3 linked regions of the Oreochromis niloticus genome follow. The protein of the gene in region 1 interacts with the protein of each later gene in a pairwise test. Links are inferred from orthologs where the notes say so. Each region holds a gene or a part of one and is shown in the gene's direction. Other genes may lie near its edges. The genes, in order: banp, lmo3 and nrip2.

What was found.
Region 2: the proteins of banp (region 1) and lmo3 interact in binary tests that used the Homo sapiens proteins (3 or more experiments, as listed by UniProt). The link is inferred for Oreochromis niloticus from reciprocal best matches to the Homo sapiens genes BANP and LMO3.
Region 3: the proteins of banp (region 1) and nrip2 interact in binary tests that used the Homo sapiens proteins (3 or more experiments, as listed by UniProt). The two-hybrid records come from large-scale screens. The link is inferred for Oreochromis niloticus from reciprocal best matches to the Homo sapiens genes BANP and NRIP2.

Annotation. Positions count from the first base shown.
Region 1 is NC_031972.2:56,896,085-56,899,839, forward strand, and holds the start of banp (protein BANP), read left to right. Parts: upstream 1-1,417; 5' UTR 1,418-1,686; intron 1,687-3,755. UniProt on the Homo sapiens protein: Controls V(D)J recombination during T-cell development by repressing T-cell receptor (TCR) beta enhancer function. Binds to scaffold/matrix attachment region beta (S/MARbeta), an ATC-rich DNA sequence located upstream of the TCR beta enhancer.
Region 2 is NC_031981.2:699,755-703,509, reverse strand, and holds the start of lmo3 (LIM domain only protein 3), read left to right. Parts: upstream 1-1,294; 5' UTR 1,295-2,319; intron 2,320-3,255; exon of another isoform or gene 3,256-3,755.
Region 3 is NC_031981.2:17,135,467-17,139,221, reverse strand, and holds the start of nrip2 (nuclear receptor-interacting protein 2), read left to right. Parts: upstream 1-792; 5' UTR 793-1,532; coding exon 1,533-1,688; intron 1,689-3,755. UniProt on the Homo sapiens protein: Down-regulates transcriptional activation by nuclear receptors such as NR1F2.

The DNA of each region.
Region 1 (3,755 bases):
ATGAGTAAACCATGTATAGTGCATACTGTTTTCAACAGAAAACACCAGAAAGCAACTCAAACATCCCCATACGCTACCAAAATATCCTCTCTGCTTTTTGCACTCCAAGTTCTGATTAGACGAGTGACAGTAGGTTAACCTTACACAGCAGTATGAAAGATCTAATATTTTTCATCGTGACTACTGGAAACTGACACCTCTTCCTAGGCATATGAATCTAAACTTACCAGGTTGAATGAGGAAAGTCTTTTTTAGACATATCAGAGGAGATGTATGGCAGGAAATTCTCCCATGGTAGCACACTGGTGTGCATATAAGAATATGTTATTTTTAATATATTTTAGGCCGACATGAATTCCAGTCAGGCACAGCCCTTCTGCATTACAATTAGTACTACGAACTGAACCTGAGTCCTTTTAAATAATGCTATCTAGCTCTACCTATACAGCTCTTAATAATGAACAGTGCAACCACTTGTGGAGAGTTAATAGACACTTAATTTAGTGAGTGTAATAACATACTATCTGCTGCATTTTCTTATTCTTTTATTACCCAGTGGAACACAAAGATGCCTAAAAACAGTGTGTCAAATCCCTGCCTAGCTGAAAGATGGACTGAGCCTGCCAGTGGCTCCACCTGCTGGTCATTTGCTGCTTTTACTTGTAGCACTCATCACCTCTTCACCACAGCTGTTGTTTTCATTCCTTGAGAGAGTTACATTTTAATGCAAAGCAATATGCTCTATACTAGATATTGGCATATTCTATGATATTAATACATAAAATAAAATATATTATTTGTAATATATTAAGTTATTCTTCCTTATCCTGCAACATTTTGCATGTATTAATCTTCCTCTATTGTTAACGTGTTTATTTGATTATAATAAACTCCTCTATATGTTCACTGAAGACCAAACAAGTACATGTAAAACGCTTGATAAAAATACACTTGCGCTTCAGCTGACCTTGGATTTTGTAATGTTTCAGTTGAATTTCCTTTTTGGTTGTTGTATATTATCATTTTGCTAATTATCTGTCTCAGAAATAAACATCAGAGTCATTTACATTGTGAACAATAGTTAGTGGGCTGCTTAATATCTTGTGCCAAATCATCTACATAAGAGGGTAAATAATGTAGAGGAAAATAAACCCATTTGCTCCAATCACTGGGAAACAAAAATACTAAAATACAGTAATATATACTCTAAGGTATCTACGGATGCAAACAAAGGCTTGGATTAAATCAAGATAACAAACAACCCTGAGGAGTTGGATTACAATGAATGTAAGAAACGTTTACTGGACGGTTAAAAAATACAGGGTTAAACAAACATGTTATCCGTTTATGCAATCTCGCTGCTTGCCACAGAGGCTTTATTAAGATACTGTGCTTTGGCGCAGTTATTATCATGCGGTATTATGATGATGTCGAATAAACTGTACAATTTAATGGATGTCGGCTTTTTTCAGATTTAGATAAAACAGCTTGAAAAGAAGCAGTCGTGCAGTCTGTGACTGGCGTCTGCAGCGGTGACGAGCGGTCTCCTGCAGACTGAGCTCCCTTGAATGAGCGTTGAGGAAACCTCCGTGTGTGAAGCACACGAAGGCAAGGTCTCATCTCTCGCGAGGAACGACGCCATTATCGGAAACTCTACAAACAACACGAGAATTCACCATTCACACGGTAATATAACCCAATCTTACACGGTACATGTGTTGTGTGCGAGAATGAGAAGAGAAGCTGCATCAAAATCACAATTAATTTAACGGTTGCTTCAGCATTAAACGAATCTTGCATTACGCTTCAAAGGCCTACATGCCCAACTAGCATGCTAACTACCACGCTAGCTTAAATAGCGTCTCCTTTAAGTTAGCATGCAAGCTTTCAAATCCGATTTTGTAGCGGCAGCTAACATTAGCTGCTAGTTATGATTTTGGTGACGCTAATTAACTAGTGAAAAATAAATTAAATATCCGTAGTACAGTAGTTTTGCACCGCATGTCTAGTCGCATTACATAAATGCATAACAAATTGATGCTCCAAGTTTGTTTTCCTCCGTTTATTCGCCTGTATTTAGCATCGTCAGACCCCCGCCCAGTTAACTAACCAATCTAAAGCTCGTTAGTTGGGCTAGTAGACGTTTACCAGCTCCGTGCTTTTTCTTTATATTTGTAGCAAACTGTAGTAATCTAGGCTAAGCAGCTAAAGTCTAAAGAAAATGGTCTGAAACAGCTGTGTTTCCTTATAGCTAGCCACTATCACAGGTAACGGTTGCGCTTAAAAAAAAGCGCCAGGAGCTTTTGCAATTTCAGACCGTTTTACATAGGGCTTAATTTAGTTGGGCTACTCTAAAACTGATTATCGCTCATTTTATGTTGGGCATACCATTCAGATAAACCCCCTTATATAAATGGTATGTGTCTCCAGTAACAAAGTTTCCTTTGTGTAAGTTTAAGGACAAAGCACACATTTATTATTCGTTTTTTTATTTAAAGTAATGTCACAAACTATTACTCTTAAGCTGCCATCGATGCTTTTGTAAGCTACGTAGAGCCGAGCCCACATAAAATGTCGTACTTTGATTATTATTGTAATTTTTCCTCATGCATCTATGCTTTTTTGCCATGTTTGGAAAACGAGGAAATGAATCAGGAAGACAAAGCTGCAAGATTATGACTCTGGATATAATTTCTCATACACACAACATGATTGTTAGTTTATTCGTGGCTGTTATGAGGATATAAGCCTTGTATTTGCAATGGATGGGTCCTTCTCTCACACATTTTAATTGAGGTGCTGTGCATTTTTGGAGTAATAGATTTTTTTTTAAAAAGTTCCACAAGTGCGCTAAAAATGTGTTGGTGTTAGCATTTGTATTACTGCTGCAACATTTTCTTTCCAAAATGTGGACAAATCACTAAAGCAATTGTGCAGTTTTGACACAAAGAGTAGGGAAACTGAACTTAGGCAAATAAAGCAATGCAACAAATGAAAAGCAGCAGCTAAAATCTGGTGAATAATACAGAATTTTTTTCAATATTTGGCTATACATACAGGCTCAAAACAGGACAACTTAGTTCATGTATTCAAGTGGACTGATACAGGGATCAAAGGTTGCAAATACTCTACTGCAACTTGAAAAAGTAAATTAGTTTGGAGTGTGCAAGTGTTAGATCTTTATTGGGTGACTGAATTTGACAGTTTTGTGGCAGTTACTTTGTCAATTATTTGTTGTGTAAAGGTAGCTTATTAAAAGTGTAATCCTAACTTGGAGTATGTATAAGTATTAGGACCACATTAAGAAAAAATATATTCTCAATTGCTTTGAGATTAAAGTCAAAATACTATTGTAAGGAATTTTTTTTTTTTTTAAATGTGGCGATTACAGTTGTTGCTTCAAAACAAACCGCCACAGTTGCTATACCCTCTGAGTTAGTGAAATCGTACTTAAGAATCAGTTTTAGTAAGAAGGAAGGATATGATTTCTCATTTCCTGATAACTATAAGGTGATAAGTCGAAAAGATGATGCAGAAAGATGCATCTGGTCAGACAGAAAAAGACACAAACTAGGAAGAGTGGGTTTGTACAAAATTAAATGACTGGTAATGGACAGATGTAAGGTTATCAATGGTTTCACTCTTGTCCAATAAAGAGGGTGTATGTTGTATCACAGAAGGGCTGATTAATTTGTTTCACTAACTCATCTAAACAAGGGATTTTGTACAGGGTATAGAAAACATGGCAGTTTGTC
Region 2 (3,755 bases), on another chromosome or scaffold:
TGGGTTTTACCTGGTTTTGATCTCTGCTTCCTGTAATGTTTAGTCTTAATTTAGATCAGCAAGCAAAATTTCTTATATTAATACGTTTTTCTAATGACTTGCTTAAACAAGTTTACACAGCAATAAACAAATATTTTTGGTTTAATATTTGAATATCAAAAGAAAAACCAGTAATGTACAAAAATATTGGGATGAGAAGTTTTTTTTATCAGATGTTTGTTTTATTGTAAAATTGAAATTCATTTTATATTTGCAAATCTGTCCACATGTAGCGTGTTCAGAATATTTCTACTTACAGGACAGTTAGAAACAAACGCCTACTGTGTGTGTGTGTGTGTGTGTGTGTGTGTGTGTGTGTGTGTGTGTGTCTGTCTGTCTGTCTGTCTCTATAATGGAACATGTCTCTAACATGAACACTGAAGGTCACTAACATAGACTAATAACATGTACTGTGTGTCAGGTTATTTCCACATGCACGCGGCTTGTTACCAAATTTTCACGACTTCTGGCCCCAGAATCGGCCAGCAAAGATTCCAATATGGCCCCTGCATGGCTTTGAAAAATATGAAGGCAGGCATGTAATTTTGGGCTTTTAACTGGTTTTGTTTATAAGTTTTAACAGCTTTTCCTGCTGATACAGAGCTCCTCCACAGCCATTACATATTACACAGTCGTTACATTAATTCTTTATAATTAATAGATAAAGAATTAAAGGAAAGGTTCTGTTTTTCACTGTCTACTATAGAAATGTTAGTTTTTAAATTTCATCAATCAACAATTTTTTTCCATATTTATAAAACAATAAACAACAACGTTTTTCTGTATTTTGACACATTTATCATGTAGAAAAATTGATACATGTGTTTGAAACTGCACTTCTTCAGCTTACGTTGAGATCAGGGATTGAGGGGTTTGCTCAGTTAGGACCAAAGTGGGCTCGATGTTCCTGAACCAGATGATCAGGACAAACAAACAAACACTGCCAGTTAGCCACCGGGCTTTAACTTGTCCTGTGAGGCCTGCGGGTGCATACCATGTTGATATCTCCTGTTATGAAAACATTCTCACATGGCAACAGTATGTGTCCCATTTCCTGACATCATCAAAAACAATTTTGTTACATTTGTGAAAACTTAAAGATCTGGGAACAATATTTCCCACATCGTTATTATTTCCCCAATACTTTATTAGTTTTCATCATAAAGAGTTTTTTATGTCATGCAAAAGTAGGACATTACCCTCTACTCGACGCTTTCTGTTTCAGCATTCGGGCTAATGAAAAGGGCTACAGGAGTGACACTGACTGGTACTATTAAGCTACATTATCACTACTCTGTAGCTCCTGGCATCTCCACCCAACGCCTTTTCTATTCAAAGTTGGCATCAGAGGAATTATTTGAGGTAAGAGATGAAGACAAATATTACCATTAGGATGTTTTATGGCGTATGTCGACTCAGTTTTCCCCCTCGCTCGCTCTCCCTTTTCTCCATCTGTGCCACTCACTTTCTCTCTGTCTGTCTCCCAACGGGGATGAAAAGGCAAGGAGAGAGAAAGGAGGAATAGAAAACTGAGTGAGCGCTGTCAATAGCAGTGAGTTCACTGCTAATCTGGCTACACTACAAAGGTTAGCAGATCTGACTGTCAATAGTGTCTTGTGGGGAGGAGGGAGGAGACACGGAGGTGAGGTGGTGTAGGGAGGGGTGGTCGCTTTGAGAGAAAGAGATACTTTGATATTTCGGAATGTTAGAAGGGTGAATGTGGAGAACTGGAGGTTGGGGATCTAATTACCGGGCCATAATTGGGGGCTGGGGAATAGGTTGCCGTCCTCTCAACTCGCTGCAGATCAATTATGTTAAGAGAACATCTGTAAGTAGAGCTTAATGAGGTCCATTAGAGCAACATGCGCTGCCTTCCCTAACGGTGCTTGTCAGCTTCTTGGATGAGCTGGAGTGTGCTGCCGACTGGGGACCTTGTGGAGGGGCTTAAATAGGAGAGGAGGCTCGACTGTGCGCTGCTTTTCCCTGTCAGAGAAACAGAGAGACACAAGCAGGGAAGGAGAAGGGGGAAAGGGATGCTCTGTGAGAGAGCTGCAGGAGTCACAGAGCAGCAAGGGGAGCAGAGTTTAGGGTCAAAGCTCAACTATTAACAGTTATCAAACCATAAAACTTTGGCGGCAAAGTTTTCTTTAGAAAAGCGGGAGCTGGCCGAGCTCTCAGAAAGTTACCTTCTGGAGATTTTCATTCAAAGTCAAGAGAACACAGAAGACACGAACCACGGCAGTATTTGTTTTGGGCGTCCCTGGCTGTAGCTCCTTCAAGGTATGTGTTATAAGTGCTCTGCTTTTCTTGGTTCTAAGTTAAAGCTTAGCCACAGCGAGGGCTGCGTGTAAAGTGCTGGTTGAGCTCCCAGGGAAGAGATCGGATGGAAATGTAGCAGATTTGCTTCCTCCTGAAATGTCATTTATGCAAGGCTGTTCAGAGCGTGTCTGGTTTTGGTGCACGTTCGTCTTCATTACAGGCTGATGGTTGGGGTCATAGCATATAACAGAAGTCCCCTCTCTCCGGTTTTGCGTTTGGCAGGAGTACTGTATGGTGCATGAGAAGACCGGGCTAGCCGCGCGATGCTCGCCGCTCCCCCGCTCTCCACATACACTCCTGCTTTCTGTCTTCATCTTATATTCATACGGAGAATGAATAATTGGCTGAACACAGCAAGTGAAAGGAGGGTGGAAGGGCACCAGGAGAGGGGTGGAAGCCTCACACACACTGCACACACACTGCAGCAGATTGCATGATTACCGAGATAGGCCTCCTTGAAATAATTCAATCCATGACAAAACCTAATTACTGGCAGGTAATACCCTGTCAGCTTTAATGCATCTCATCACTCATAATGGCGCGGAGAGCATTTTATGACCCAACTCATTATTGCTGCATTTTTGGCTGGAGTCACATGCCAACTATTGACTTGTGTCTCCTCCTTCTGTGCCTTCCACACTTTCATTTGTCTATCATCATATTTATACGATGTATCTGTGTGTGTGATAGGGAGCAGTGGTGCGGTGGGGAGGAAGGTTTGGGGTAACCATACCGTGACACTCGGGCCTCCTCGCTGCCTCGTCTCATCTAAACTAGGTCGCTAATTGATGCACGACTTGACGCGAAAACCTGGTGAATGTATTTTTCCTTTAATACAAGAATGATTAAAAGCAACTATGGAGAGATGATAATCCGAGTTGTTGATGTTAACCCAGCTGGAGACCTCCCTTTGCCATTAAAGAAAGAACTGGCACAGGCTGGTGTCATCACAGAGCCATTATATGCACTGGGATGTTTGCATTTTCTCACACTAGTCTTTTACCAAACAAAAGTGCAAGCAGTAGACAGTACTTTCTTTTTCTTTCTTTTTTTTGGCTTAAGCTCGGACTGATCTTTTTAAATGTTAATAATTAGAACCCTGTGCAGATGTAACACTGTAGGACAAACCACGACTCTGGCCAAATACCTGAAATAAACAATGCAAGGAGTTACATCTGTGACTCTCTGAGAGCTGCTCATCTCAATATTAGTATCAGTGTTAGAAGTAAACTGCTCTACCTACACGTGGACTATTGCATTTGCTTCTGTGTCTATAATGTAGGCCCCAGGAACCATCTACACGCACCCGTGGCTCCAAAATCAAAGAAAGTGGGCGTGTACGGGAGGCATCCTTTAGCCAAACAGCTGCTAATAACTGAATGATCATATCGTGTCAC
Region 3 (3,755 bases), on another chromosome or scaffold:
AAATAAAAACAGATAAAAAAAACCAGATTCTTTTCAATAATGGCTGGTTGTGCCTCAGCGCTTGTCTTGCATTGCCATTGTAATTGACCCAGAGATAATGTGGAAGGGCATAGGTGTTTTATGATTTAGGGCACAGGTGTCGAACTCCAGGCCTCAAGGCCCGGTGTCCTTGATCCAGCACAGCTGAAGGCTAAATGACCTCCTCAACATGTCTTACAGTTCTCCAGAGGCCTGGTAATTAACTAATCATTTCATTCAGGTGTGTTGACCCAGGGTGATATCTAAAACCTGCAAGGCCTGGAGTTTGACACCCCTGGCCCTCAAGGCCTGGAGTTTGACACCCCTGATTTAGGGGTTTCAAAACCTTCCTTTACTGATAGAAAAGATGCATGTTAGGCGGAAAAACTCAACCAGCAGGTGGCAGCACATAAACATCAAATCCCTCAGCAGTATTTTCCACTTCACCTTCACAAGGACTCCCTCTGCCAGATGAAAATTATATACTTTAAAAAAGCAGTCATGTCTTTTTTATATATATATTAGCACGCACCCTCTGCAAGGATACACTCATTAAACACTGTGACAGATAAATGAGCAGCGCTTACTACACTTCAAGGAAACCCTCCACACCTCTAGGCCAAATCACCACTGCTGTATAAAAATGTGTCATCGCGTAGAGGTCATGATGGATGGGATATTTATAGCTTTTGGTGGTGTGGATGGATGGAAAGAAGAAAATGGATTCTTTAATTCAGGCGGGAGGGAAATCAATTGTTGCCATCGGTGGTGCAGATTGATCCCGTTTGGGGTCGGACCACAGTGAGCTCTCGCACCTACACAGCGGGGGGCTACCGCTGTTGAGCTCGGGGGGACTGATGCTGCAAACTGTGTTGGGCTCAGAAGCAACACACAGGAGTGACAGACTGTGCGTGTGGGTGGCTGTGCCAGTTTAAAAGACTAGACGAGGCAGAAAATGCTTGCTGTGATGGTTAAGAATGTGGTTACAGATTAGCAGGGGAGCGGTGAGGTCTGATGTACAAAGAGTCAGCTGGGAAAATATGCTCAGTGTTTTGGGGGTGAGGGGAAGAGGAAGGCTGAGAGGAGAGAGAGAGAAACACTACTGAAGGCAGAGATGTATATGTGAGAGAGAGAGAGAGAGAGAGCGATACAAGGACAGACGGCTCTGAGGGGAGGGGAGGAAACACTTACACAGACTCTGTCACACCTTCCACACAGCCTCGCAGCCTCTGTGAGAGACTCAGCAGATCTTGACGTTGTGAGGAAAGATGCACATGAAAGGAGCAGGACAATAGCTCCTGGGAGAAATACATGCTGAGGACTATACAGCAGCATTTCAGAGAGAGCAACAGAGGCAACGTTTAGAGGTTTATTCTGCTGCTGAGGACCTTAAAGAGGACAAGAGCTTTACGTTCTTTGGAGGGGTTTCTCCTCTTCTGCTGCCGCTGTGAGGTTACAGTCTCCGTGCTCCCTTGCACAGCATCAGAAAGGACTGATTTTAAAAGCCTGAGACAATGAGTGAGGCGAAAAAAGGAGAGATAGCAATCCGGGATAAAGCCATCCTGCACCAGCAGAGGCGTCTGAAGCAGGCCACCCAGTTCACACACAAGGACTCTGCTGACCTCCTGCCCCTGGATGGTCTGAAGAGACTGGGCACGTCTAAAGACTTGGTGAGTGAGCTGCATGAGTGTCTGAACTCAATTGGAGAGGCGGTGATGTGCATGCAGGTGCTTGGCACCTGGCAAAGGTCTGCAGTGAGCAGGTTAATTTGCCAAAACCTGCTGCTCACCTAACCCACACTTTGACCCAGCTGCAACAGTTTGGGTTGGGATTTTGTGATGTGATGTGATTATGTTGTTTGTGTTCTTTGTTCGACTTGAATACAGCTTCCCTTGTCGATTATGGCCAATGATTGTTGTGTATTTTGATGGCATTCGATTGGCTGGAAATAAACCTACAGCCCTATGATTGCTGCACCAACAACACTATATGGTGTAGAAGGGTGTGCTGAGACACCCAAGAGCTGAAAGAGTCGGTGGATGATTGAGGAGGTTGTAGATAGAGCGGTCAAATAAAGAAATCGTTTGAAGGTTGCCAGGTTATTCCTTGCTTTGCACAAAAAAATTGTACAGTAAGCAAAAAATTGGCTTAAACTACCCCAGCTCCGTTTAGCCTTAGGGGCACGGTGAGGAACTCGGAATAAGGCCCCTGCTCCTTTATGTTAAGGAGCCAGTTGAGGTGGTTGATGCATCTGGTTAGAGGAGGGATTCCTCCCTTTGGAGGTTTTCTGGGAATGCACAACTGGGAGGAAAACCCCAGGGTAGAATCAGAATGCGCCGGAGAGATTATATGTCTCGTCTGTCCTGGGAACACCTCAGGATCTCCCAGGAGGAAGTGGGAAGTGTGGCTGCTTAGCCTCCTGCCTCACAATGAAAAATGATGGATGGATGGATGTTGAGTTTGCTGTCAAGTAGAACGTACAGCTACACTCACCATGTAAGACAGTGAGGCATAAAGTAACCCTGTGTATGGCTCTCTGACCGCAGTGATTTCACAGCCAAATGAAATGACAGTGACAGGGGTTACTGGAAAAAACAAAGACAATTTTGCTGCTTTAACTTTTAGGCACCACCTTAACTGCACTGTAACTGGACACAAAATTATCAGAATTAAATGACAAAAAAGTAACAGCCAGAAAACATCAGATATAATTTACCATTGCAGATACAGGATGGATTCATCCAGTCATCCTGAATCAAACATGCACATGTTTGCGCTTTCTGGCAGATCCCTAATTGAATTATCTAAATAATATTATAGCTTGCAGTGAGGTATAACCTGTCTAAGAAACTTGGGCTTGAGTTTTTTAGTATTCTGACGACTGCACCCATGCTAGCACTCCACACTCTTTTCCAAATATGGTATCTTCTGGCTGTGAAACACAATACTCAAAACAATACTTCACTGAGGCTTTGCAATTTGGAGCCCATGGCCAGTCGGTCTTGGCATGGTCGCAATGTCCATCTTTTATTTACAGGCTTTGTATGCCACCTTGGTCACGTTTTGCTCGCTCTGCAAACGCTGAAGCCTGTATTTAACATTTTTAGCATATGCAGCAGTGTTTCTTAAGACCCAATGGAGCTAATCACTTCACTGCCACTTTGACAGCCATTATTCTCTCCACTGTTGATTAATTATTTGGATTAACTGTGAAAAAAGTTAAATTTCCATCCCTGAGTCCAAAATTACATCCTTTTTTAATAATATCAGACCAGCTGTCCAAAACCACTTTATAACAATATAAAATGGAGAAAAGCTGCAAATCCTCTGGTTACTGCATGGCCATTAAGTGTAACCTCTAAAATAAAGATTCATAAAACATTCACAGTCGTGCACTCTGCATACAGAGGGGCGAACGTCTTGTCAAAGGAGTTTACAGTTCACTGAGCAGGCCTCTCAAATAGAGACTGAAGTCAGCGCACACTTGGAAACAGACACACACTTTAAGGGTTGACATACAGGATGAAAGACAGCCCTGCAAGTAAAGTGGGGCAAGTCTGACCTGCTCACTTCCTCTTCCCCCAGAAACCTCACTAAACCGAAGTTGTTATGTACACTCTGGAGGAACTCCCTGTAATAATCTCAGCAATTTATTACTCAAGCTCTCCTCTGACACAGTTCTGTTTTGATGGCGGCAGCTTCGCAGATTCCCCAGAGCTCTCTGAGAACCTGAGCAC